Oryctolagus cuniculus: one gene and its partner. The protein of the gene in region 2 binds, or shares a complex with, the protein of the main gene of each other region. Links are inferred from orthologs where the notes say so. Each region holds a gene or a part of one and is shown on either strand. Other genes may lie near its edges. The genes, in order: POLR2G and ERCC2.

Evidence for each region.
Region 1: ERCC2 (region 2) and POLR2G share a complex: the UniProt entries of both Homo sapiens proteins name them as parts of the TBP-based Pol II pre-initiation complex. The link is inferred for Oryctolagus cuniculus from reciprocal best matches to the Homo sapiens genes ERCC2 and POLR2G.

What each region holds. Positions count from the first base shown.
Region 1 is NC_091432.1:8,823,418-8,827,804, forward strand, and holds the start of POLR2G (DNA-directed RNA polymerase II subunit RPB7), read right to left. Parts: upstream 3,078-4,387; 5' UTR 2,938-3,077; coding exon 2,926-2,937; intron 2,812-2,925; coding exon 2,702-2,811; intron 1,896-2,701; coding exon 1,736-1,895; intron 729-1,735; coding exon 678-728; intron 309-677; coding exon 243-308; intron 138-242; coding exon 66-137; intron 1-65. UniProt on the Homo sapiens protein: Core component of RNA polymerase II (Pol II), a DNA-dependent RNA polymerase which synthesizes mRNA precursors and many functional non-coding RNAs using the four ribonucleoside triphosphates as substrates.
Region 2 is NC_091449.1:11,485,395-11,489,192, reverse strand, and holds part of ERCC2 (general transcription and DNA repair factor IIH helicase subunit XPD), read right to left. Parts: intron 3,294-3,798; coding exon 3,224-3,293; intron 3,153-3,223; coding exon 3,083-3,152; intron 2,988-3,082; coding exon 2,886-2,987; intron 2,377-2,885; coding exon 2,313-2,376; intron 2,131-2,312; coding exon 2,009-2,130; intron 1,527-2,008; coding exon 1,434-1,526; intron 1,359-1,433; coding exon 1,286-1,358; intron 1,205-1,285; coding exon 1,134-1,204; intron 1,050-1,133; coding exon 906-1,049; intron 808-905; coding exon 664-807; intron 572-663; coding exon 479-571; 3' UTR 447-478; intron 402-446; exon of another isoform or gene 314-401; coding exon of another isoform or gene 242-313; intron 170-241; coding exon of another isoform or gene 100-169; intron 94-99; 3' UTR 11-93; coding exon of another isoform or gene 1-10. Other genes in the region: KLC3 (kinesin light chain 3), read left to right, coding at 1-10, 100-169, 242-313. UniProt on the Homo sapiens protein: ATP-dependent 5'-3' DNA helicase. Component of the general transcription and DNA repair factor IIH (TFIIH) core complex, not absolutely essential for minimal transcription in vitro.

The DNA of each region.
Region 1 (4,387 bases), on a different chromosome or scaffold from region 2:
AAGCCTCAGCAACTGTGGGTGGAAAGAATCCAGATCTCAGCCCTGCCTGCTGCAGCGAGACTCACAATGTCGTTCTTGTCCACTCGGGTCCCCACAATCTTCAGGCGGATCTCATCATCCTGCTGAATCACAATGTCCTGGGCAGAGGAGGGAACAGGGTCCTCAAGACACGTCCAGGCCAACTCTCCCTCCCAGTGCCCTGATCTCTCCTCCCTCTGCCTGACGTCTTCCTCCCCACTCACCTCATCCATTGTCTTGTAGCATGGTGGGTTGGAATTGGGATCAAACTCCATCTCTGATGGGATAGACTGAAAGGAAAAGTCAAAGTAGGTCAACACTGTCATTTCCTTATCTATACACTTCTTTGGGAGGCAGAGAATACCCATCCGCTGATTTACTCTCCAAATGCCCACAGTGGCCCAAGCCTGGGGCCAGAGCCAGGAGCTGGGAACTCCGTCCAGGTCTCCCACCAGGGCAGCAGGGACCCAGTCACTTGAGCCATCACCAACCGCCTTCGTAGGGTGCACATTAGCAGAGGCTGGAGTCAGCAGCCAGAGATGAGTATAGAACCCAGGAGGGTCAGCACTTTCAACAGATGCTTCAGTAGATGACCACAAACGGGCGCATCTTTCTAGCCCCTACCCGGTGTCCCAGCCTACCCGGTGTCCCAGACTTACGTGTCGAGAGATGAAGCAAGACATTGGCCCAATTTCTGTGAAGAGTCCAACCTACAAGGAAAACGAATGATTTCGCTTTTTCTTCCCCTCCAAGTCTTTTGTTCCCATTTTTACTTGATTCCTACAATTTTACTCATGTTCTATGACCGGTATGAATTGTGGCATTTGTTTGCACTTCTCTTTTTTATTAACATTTCATTATGTATTTAGCTATTTTATGTACCTGAAACGCAGAGTGACAGAAAAAACAGAGAATCAGATCTTTTGTCCAATGGTTCAGTCCCTAAATGGCCCCAGTGGCTGGGACTGTACCCAAGACCCCAGAATACCAGCCAGGTCTCCCACGTGGGTGGCAAGGCCCCAGCACGTGGGTCATCTTCCACTGCTTTCTCAGGCACATTAGCAGGAAGTAGCACAGGAAACAGCACCTGGATGCCAACCGGCACACTGATACTCAACAATACTGGAATGTAAGTAAGCCTAACCCACTGCACCACAATGCCAGCACCAATCTTTCATTTTAAGTTAAGTAAAAACAGTGCAGTAGTAAAGAGCCTACACCTAGGACTTGAGAGAGAGAGAGAGAGAGAATCTTTCATCTGCTGGGTCACTCTCCAAATGGCTGCAATGATTAGGGCTGGGTCAGGCAAAAGCCAGGAGCCAAGAACTTCCTCTGAGTTTCCTACATGGGTGCAGGGGCCCAAGGACTTGGACCATCCTCCACCACTTTCCCAGGAGCATTAGTAGGGAGCTAGATGGAAAGCGGAACAGCCGGGACTTGAACCTGCACCCATATGGAATGTCGGTGCCGTATGTCATGGATTTAACCCGCTGGGCTACAGCGCTGGCCCCAGGACTCTACCCTTACGACTATTAATACTGAATCACGTGCCTCCTGAGTGAGGCAGGACCAAGATTCCTAGAACCATTTGCCAAGTGAGGAAACTGAAGTACAAAAAAGTGACTTAGCCAAAGGCACAGAGTTAGCAAGAGGAGCAGGGACCCAAACCAGCTCCTCCCAGGGACCACCCCGTTGCCTCCTCTATGTGAGGACTCACCTTGTTGACCTGAGTGACAACTGCATCCACGACCTCACCTTTAAAGGGCCGGAAAACAATGGCCTTGTACTTAACAGGATAAAGCACAAAGCCTCGGCCTGGCTGAATCACTCCTGCGCCGATGTTGTCTATGGTGGTGACAGCAATGACGAAGCCATACCTGTGAGGAGGATGAGAAAGAGAAAGGTTCTATATGCGGAAGGGCCTCTAACGCCATCTGCAGCAAGAGTCATCGAGCCTGGGAAGGGGTTAAGAGGGGAAGCAGACAGCATCTCTGCCCCCAGAGCGCTTCAGAACCAAGAGAAAGGGCAGGGATCAGCATCTGTAAAGGCCACGCGCTGCTCTCCTGTTTCACAACAAACATCCGAAGTGGCTGCAGTCTCTGACCTCAATCTTCGAGCTGCCTCAGAATCACCTGGGAGGAGCGTGTGAGCAGGCAGAGTCCCAGGCCTGCCCCAGAGATGTGAGGAGTCTTAGGAACGAACGTGCATCCAGGGTAATCTGGCTTTGCTGTAGGCTCAAGTACCGCCCGGCCCCGAGCTGAGTTCCAGTCCACTCCTACCGCTCTGGGAAGAACCCAAGGACAGTCAAGCCCCAGCCTCCTTCCTTCCTCACCCCGTCGACCCGCATTCTCTGGTCATTCACTCAGGAAACACACTGTGCCATGCCAACTCCCTGGGCTCAGCAGAAACCGAGGGACAAGGGTTAAACTGTGAGCCCCACGCGTGCTGGCCTCATTCCATCTTGTTCTCTGCATGTTCCCAGGGCCCAACACGGGGCCCGGCTCACAGCAGGAGCTCGAAAAACGCGCAGTAAAAGAATGAGAAATCTAGGCTGAAGGAAGTTACGGAGCGCTCCCCAGCGTGGGTGGCAAGGTGCTGCAGCCCACGCTGGGAGGGGGGCGGCTGCAGGTACAGGGTCCCGTGTGCGCGCCGCCGAGACCACACGCACGGCCACAGTACTCACTTGCCAGTGCAAGTCCCCTCCACCTCGGTGAAGAGCTTCTGCTTCACGGTGTTGAGCAAGTTAGGGCCAAAGTAGCGCGGGTGCAGCAGGATCTCGTGCTCCAGGGAGATCTGCGGAGACAGCGGAACGCAGACGGAGGATACGGGGCAAGCAGCAGCCCTCCGCACCGGCGCCCCGTTCCTCCTCTCGACCCAGCCCTCGCCATCACCCCGCGCCCTGCTCACGTGGTAGAACATCTTCCCCGACGAGACTCTAAAACAAGCCGCCACCAGCGCTACAAACACCGACCCACTGGCTTCACCGGAAGCGCACGCCGCGCAGCCGCCCCTCGCTTCCGGGTCCGCCGGAAGTGGGCGGGACTCCTTCCAGTCGATGGATACGATTGGGCCTCCCTGTGGAGGATTGATGAAGCTCCGCCCCTCGGTTCCTCCGACTGGCGCTCAAACCTTGCCCGCTCCGCCAAGTAACTTAAAGTATTTGTGAACTGAATATTTTAAACTGAATTAATTCCTGGTGAAAGATGACATAATTATTTTAACAGCGGAGTCATTCAGCAAGTATTTTACAGACTGCTTTCCCATAGTCAATGTGGTGTTAAGTATCTAGGTGGATAGTAGCCTTTTTTTTTTTTTCAAGGTTTTATCTATTTGGGAGGCAGAGTTAGAGAGAAGTAGAGAGAGAGAGGTCTTCCATCCCCTGGTTCACTCCCCAAATGGCCGCGAAGGCCGGAGCTGGCCCAATCTGAAGCCAGGAGCCTACTCAGGGTCTCCCACGTGGGTGCAGGGCCCGAGGACTCAGGCCATCTTCCACTGCTTTCCCAGGCCATAGCAGGGAGCTGGATCAGAGGTGGAGCAGCTGGGACTCGAACTGGCGCCCATATGGGATGCCGGCAATGGAAGCCGCGGCTTTACCCGCTATGCCACAACGCCAGCCCCTGCTCCACTTCTGATCCAAATCCCTTCCAAAAGCCTGCGAGAAGCAGTGGAAAACGACCCAAGTGCTTGGGGCCCTGCACCCACAGAGGAGACCTGGAAGAAGCCCCTGGTTCCCAGCTTTGGCCTGGCCCAGGCCTCATCGTTGTACCCTTTGGGGAGTGAACCAGTGGATAGAAGACTTGTTCCTTTCTCTCTCACTGTAACTCTGACTTACAAATAATTAAATAAATATTTTTTAAAAAAATTGTTGGCGGCTGGCGTTGTGGTGCAGTGGGATAAAGTCATGACCTGCAGCACTGGCATCCAATATGGATGCCGATTCAAGTCCTGGCAGCTCCACTTTTTTTTTTAAGATTTTATTTATTTATTTATTTATTTATTTTGAGAGGTAGAGTTACAGAAAGTGAGAAGGAGAGACAGCAAGAAAGGCCTTCCATCTGCTGGTTCAGTCCCAAAATGGCGGCAACGGCTGGAGTGCTGGCCCCAGCTCTACTTCTGATCCAGCTCCCTGCTAATGTACCTGAGAAGGCAGCAAGTCCTTGGGCCCCTGAAACAGGGGCCTGTGGGAGACCCAGAGGAAGCTCCTGGCTCCCTACTTTGGCCTGAGCTAGCCTGGTCATTGTGGCCATTTGGGGAGTGAACCAGCAGATGGAACATCTCTCTCTCTCTCTCTCTCTCTCTCACTCTTTCTGTAACTCTGCCTTTCAAATGAATAAATAAATCTTTAAAGAAAATTTTTGATAAAAACATA
Region 2 (3,798 bases):
GGGCTGCCGGGTGAGTGCGGGCGCGGGAGCGGCGTGAGCGAGCCCTGCGGCCCCCACGGCCGGCCCCCGGGAGACACCGTGTCCTGTGGCTCCCTGCAGGATGAAGAGAGCCGTGTCGCTCAACACGCTGCCCACGGACGGGCCCCGGGCTGCGGGCGCTCAGCCGCAGGTGAGGGGCCGGGCGGGGGTGGGGAGCTGTGCCCGCCCCTCCTCCCCCTCCAACCGCCCCTGCTGTCCCCAGGGCCGCAGCTGGCGCCTGAGCGAGGCCCCGAGGAGCCTCAGCACCAGCACCCAGGACCTGAGCCCCCGGTGAGGCCGGATCACGTGGGCCTGGCGTCTCAGCAGGACTCGGGGGGCGGGGCGGGGACCCCCTGCGATTAAAGGCTCTGCAGTCCCTGAGGCATCGGCCTGAGCTTCCTGCAGGGCCCGGGGAGCGCGGGAGGCACCTCAAGGCCTGCCAGGCGCTGGCGGTCCAGGCTCACAGCTGCTGCGCGATCTGCTCAATCCGCCGCAGCGTCTCCTCGGATTCCAGCTGCTCCAGGCTGAGCAGGGACAGGCCCAGCTGGTCCTCCTGCAGGGGCCAGGGACGGCTGTTTGCAAACATTGGCACTGGCAGGGAGACATCCCAGGGCCCTTCCTGGAGGAGGGGTGGCCGGGCCGTACCCGGTGGAAGGGCTGTGCCATCTGCCGCAGGAAGTACTTGGCGACCTGGACACCCTCGTCCACAGTCAGGTTCAGGTTGGCGTCCGTCAGGTGCTCCTGGATCCAGCGCGGCAACTTCCCCCGCTTGTCGGCCCGCGCAAACCGCTTGGAGCAAGAGGAGGGCGGCGTCAGGCGGGGGGCGGGGGCCCAGCCGCCCTCTGCCCCGCCACCTCCCTCTCCCGCTCTGGAGGCGCGGGGCAGACCTTGTCTGCGAACACCATGAGGCCGTAGTCGGTCTTGCCCCGGATGGCCCGGCCCACGCACTGGGCCGCGTGGCGCATGGCGTCGAAGGTGAGGAAGTCGTTCTCCCGGATCTGGAACTGGTCCCGCAGGTACTCCAGCCGCGCCTGGGCGAGGAGGCCGCGAGCTGGCCGCTGCCCCGCCCGCGGCCCGGCCCGCGCCGCCCCTGCCCCGCGGCCCGCGGCACCCACCTTGAGGATGCGGCTCTGCGTGTAGACGTAGGGGACGCCGAACATGATGACGGCTCGCCCGTAGTGGTGTACTGCGGGCCGGGCGAGGGGTTAGGCACGGCGCCGGCAGGGGCACGGGGGTGGCCCCTGCCCGAACACAGCGGTCCACTCACCGAAGTCGATGCCCTCGGACACCTTGCCCCGGGCCACCGAGAGCAGGATGGCCCCGCGGCCGTTCTCGCAGGCCTGGGGGCGGGGGAGGCGTGAGCCGCGGCCTGGCGCCCCCTGCTGGGTGCCCGCCCGCCCGCCCGGCCCGCTCACCTCCTGGTACTTCTCCAGCGCGACGCTGGTCTCGGCGCCGTCCTGGGTCTCGATGAAGAGCAGCTTGTTCCTCTGGATGTTCTCAAGGATGCCCTGAGCCAGGACGCCCGCGAGGTCAGGGCCCGGCCGCCGCCCCCGCCATGCAGCTCGCCCCGCCCCTCGGACAAATCTGTGGCCGGCCGCGGGGTGTCTATCAGGACATCCCTGGCCAGTGATTGGTGGAGCGGCTGACTGAAAGCCCGACAGAGCCAATCAGAGGCTACACTGGGATTCCCGCAGGAAACCCACCCCCCACGTGCACTAGCTGGCTGAGCCAGGAGCCCCAGGGCAGCCGAGGTGTCAGGGGACCCAGAGGGCCGCGGTGAGAGCAGACCTTGGGGCTGCAGCCACCCTGCCCGAGGACAAGGCCACGGTCCCGGCCGCGGGCGATGAGTGGCCTTCTCCCGCCATCCCCTGGTACATGCTCGGCCAGGTTCTCTCCTCCCCAGAGAGGTTTGCTCCACCCAGTGCTGCGAGCTGCACCAGGTGCCCCCGAGCAGCACGGGGCAGTCCCCCGGCAGGCCGGGGGTGCCTACCTGCTCGTACCACGAGGCCACGGTGCTCTCCATGTACTGGTAGCTGGTGAAGAAGGCCACGATGCCGTCGGGGACCACGGCCGACATCTCCAGCAGCAGGTTCCCGTAGTTCCGGATCACCGCTGCGCGGGGTCACACGTTGGCCCCGCCCCCTGAACTCGGGGTGCCCAGAAACCCTGCCAAGGCCAGCTCAAGGGCCGTTCATACCTCCCACCCCTCCCAGCCCTCAAGTTAGGGTGCCTACAGTGGAGCGCCCCCCCCCGGGGGGGCCTGGGGACCCCGCAGCCACCGCGCAGGCGCCTACCCATGTCTTCCCGGCTCTCGAACTTGGAGCTGATGGCCACCTGGTCGTTGCCGCGGCCGACGATCTGGGGTGAGTGAGAGGAGGAGGGGAAGCAGCCACCCCTTCGCCTGCACTGCGGGCACCAGGCGCGATCCCGGCCCCGTCACTCCTATTCACGCCCACCCAGTGGGAACGCTACAGCTGTGCGTGGGCTCAGGACTGGCCACGGCCTCCAAAGGACAGGGCCAAGTCCCCTGCTCGTTTGGAGCTTGGCACACAGTTTAAGGGCAGCACCGGCCCGGGGTCCACGCAGAGGCCTCCCCAGGCCCCTCGGGCCGCTTCTCAGCCCCCTGCCATTGGCACACGGGAGGGGCTGAGGCACACACACTCCGAAAGGCCTCCTCCTCCCGGTGAGCCCTGGGCTCAACACATGCTGGGCGCCAGGCCAGGGCTGGGGACCGCGTCAGGAGGCGCAGAGGAGCAGACCCGGGCCAGGGCCACTTGGCTCTTACTGGGCTCCCTGCCCGAGTCCTCGGGGCACTCCCAGGCCGAGCCCAGGTTGGGGTGGGCCCCTAGCCCGCTCTCCCTACGCACCATGGGGCAGAGGCAGACCCGGGCCAGCGTCATGGTGAAGGTTGCCATGGTGACGGGGTGGAAGTCCAGGATCTTGGGGTAGATGTCCAGCGGGGACAGCGTCTGGACAGGGACAGGAGGGGCCTCAGCGGGGCGGGGCCGAGGGGACGGGAGGCGGGGCCTCAGTGGGGCGGGGCTGGCGGGGCCAGCGTCCTCACCCCCGACGTGATGATGACCGACTGGAAGCGCTCGAACACAGGTTTGATGGCCAGCGAGGCGTCCATGCAGCTGTGGGGAGCAGGCGGGGCCGTGAGCACTGGGTCCGAGGGGCCGGGGCCCCCGCCCAGGCGGGCACTCACCTGAAGTGCAGGACGGGGTTGGCGATGGTGGGGGTCCGGTCGTCGAAGGGCTCGATGATGATGGTGAAGCCTGCAGCAGGCGAGCGCGGGCGGTGAGACCCTGGGCTGCGGGCGTGGTCACCGCCGCACCTGACCTGTCCGTCAGGAACCAGACTCCACCCCCTGAGCCCCAGGGCGGCTCCTGCACAGGCTCACGGGGGGATCCCAAAAGGGCAGCACCCAGCCTCGCTCCTGTACTCCCCCGGGGTCCAGGGCCTCGCTCCTGCACATGCCCAAGCCGCCACCTCCCACCCGGGCTCAGTGCCGGCGTCCTGCAGGACCCCCGGGTCGTGCCCGCCCTGCTCAGGAGCCGGCCGTGGCTCCACGCTCCTCTCAGGGTCCAGGATGGCCTGTGGGGCCCCTATGCCGACCCCCCTTCCTGGTTGCTCACAACTGCCTGCCTGACCCGGAAGCTCACTCCCCCAGGGCCTTTGCACACGCTGGCCCCTGGCCGAGGCAGCTCCACGGGTTGCTTGAGGCCTGACTCCGCCCAGAGCCCCCCGCGCCCTGTAGGCACCAGCGCTGGGGGTCCCGCC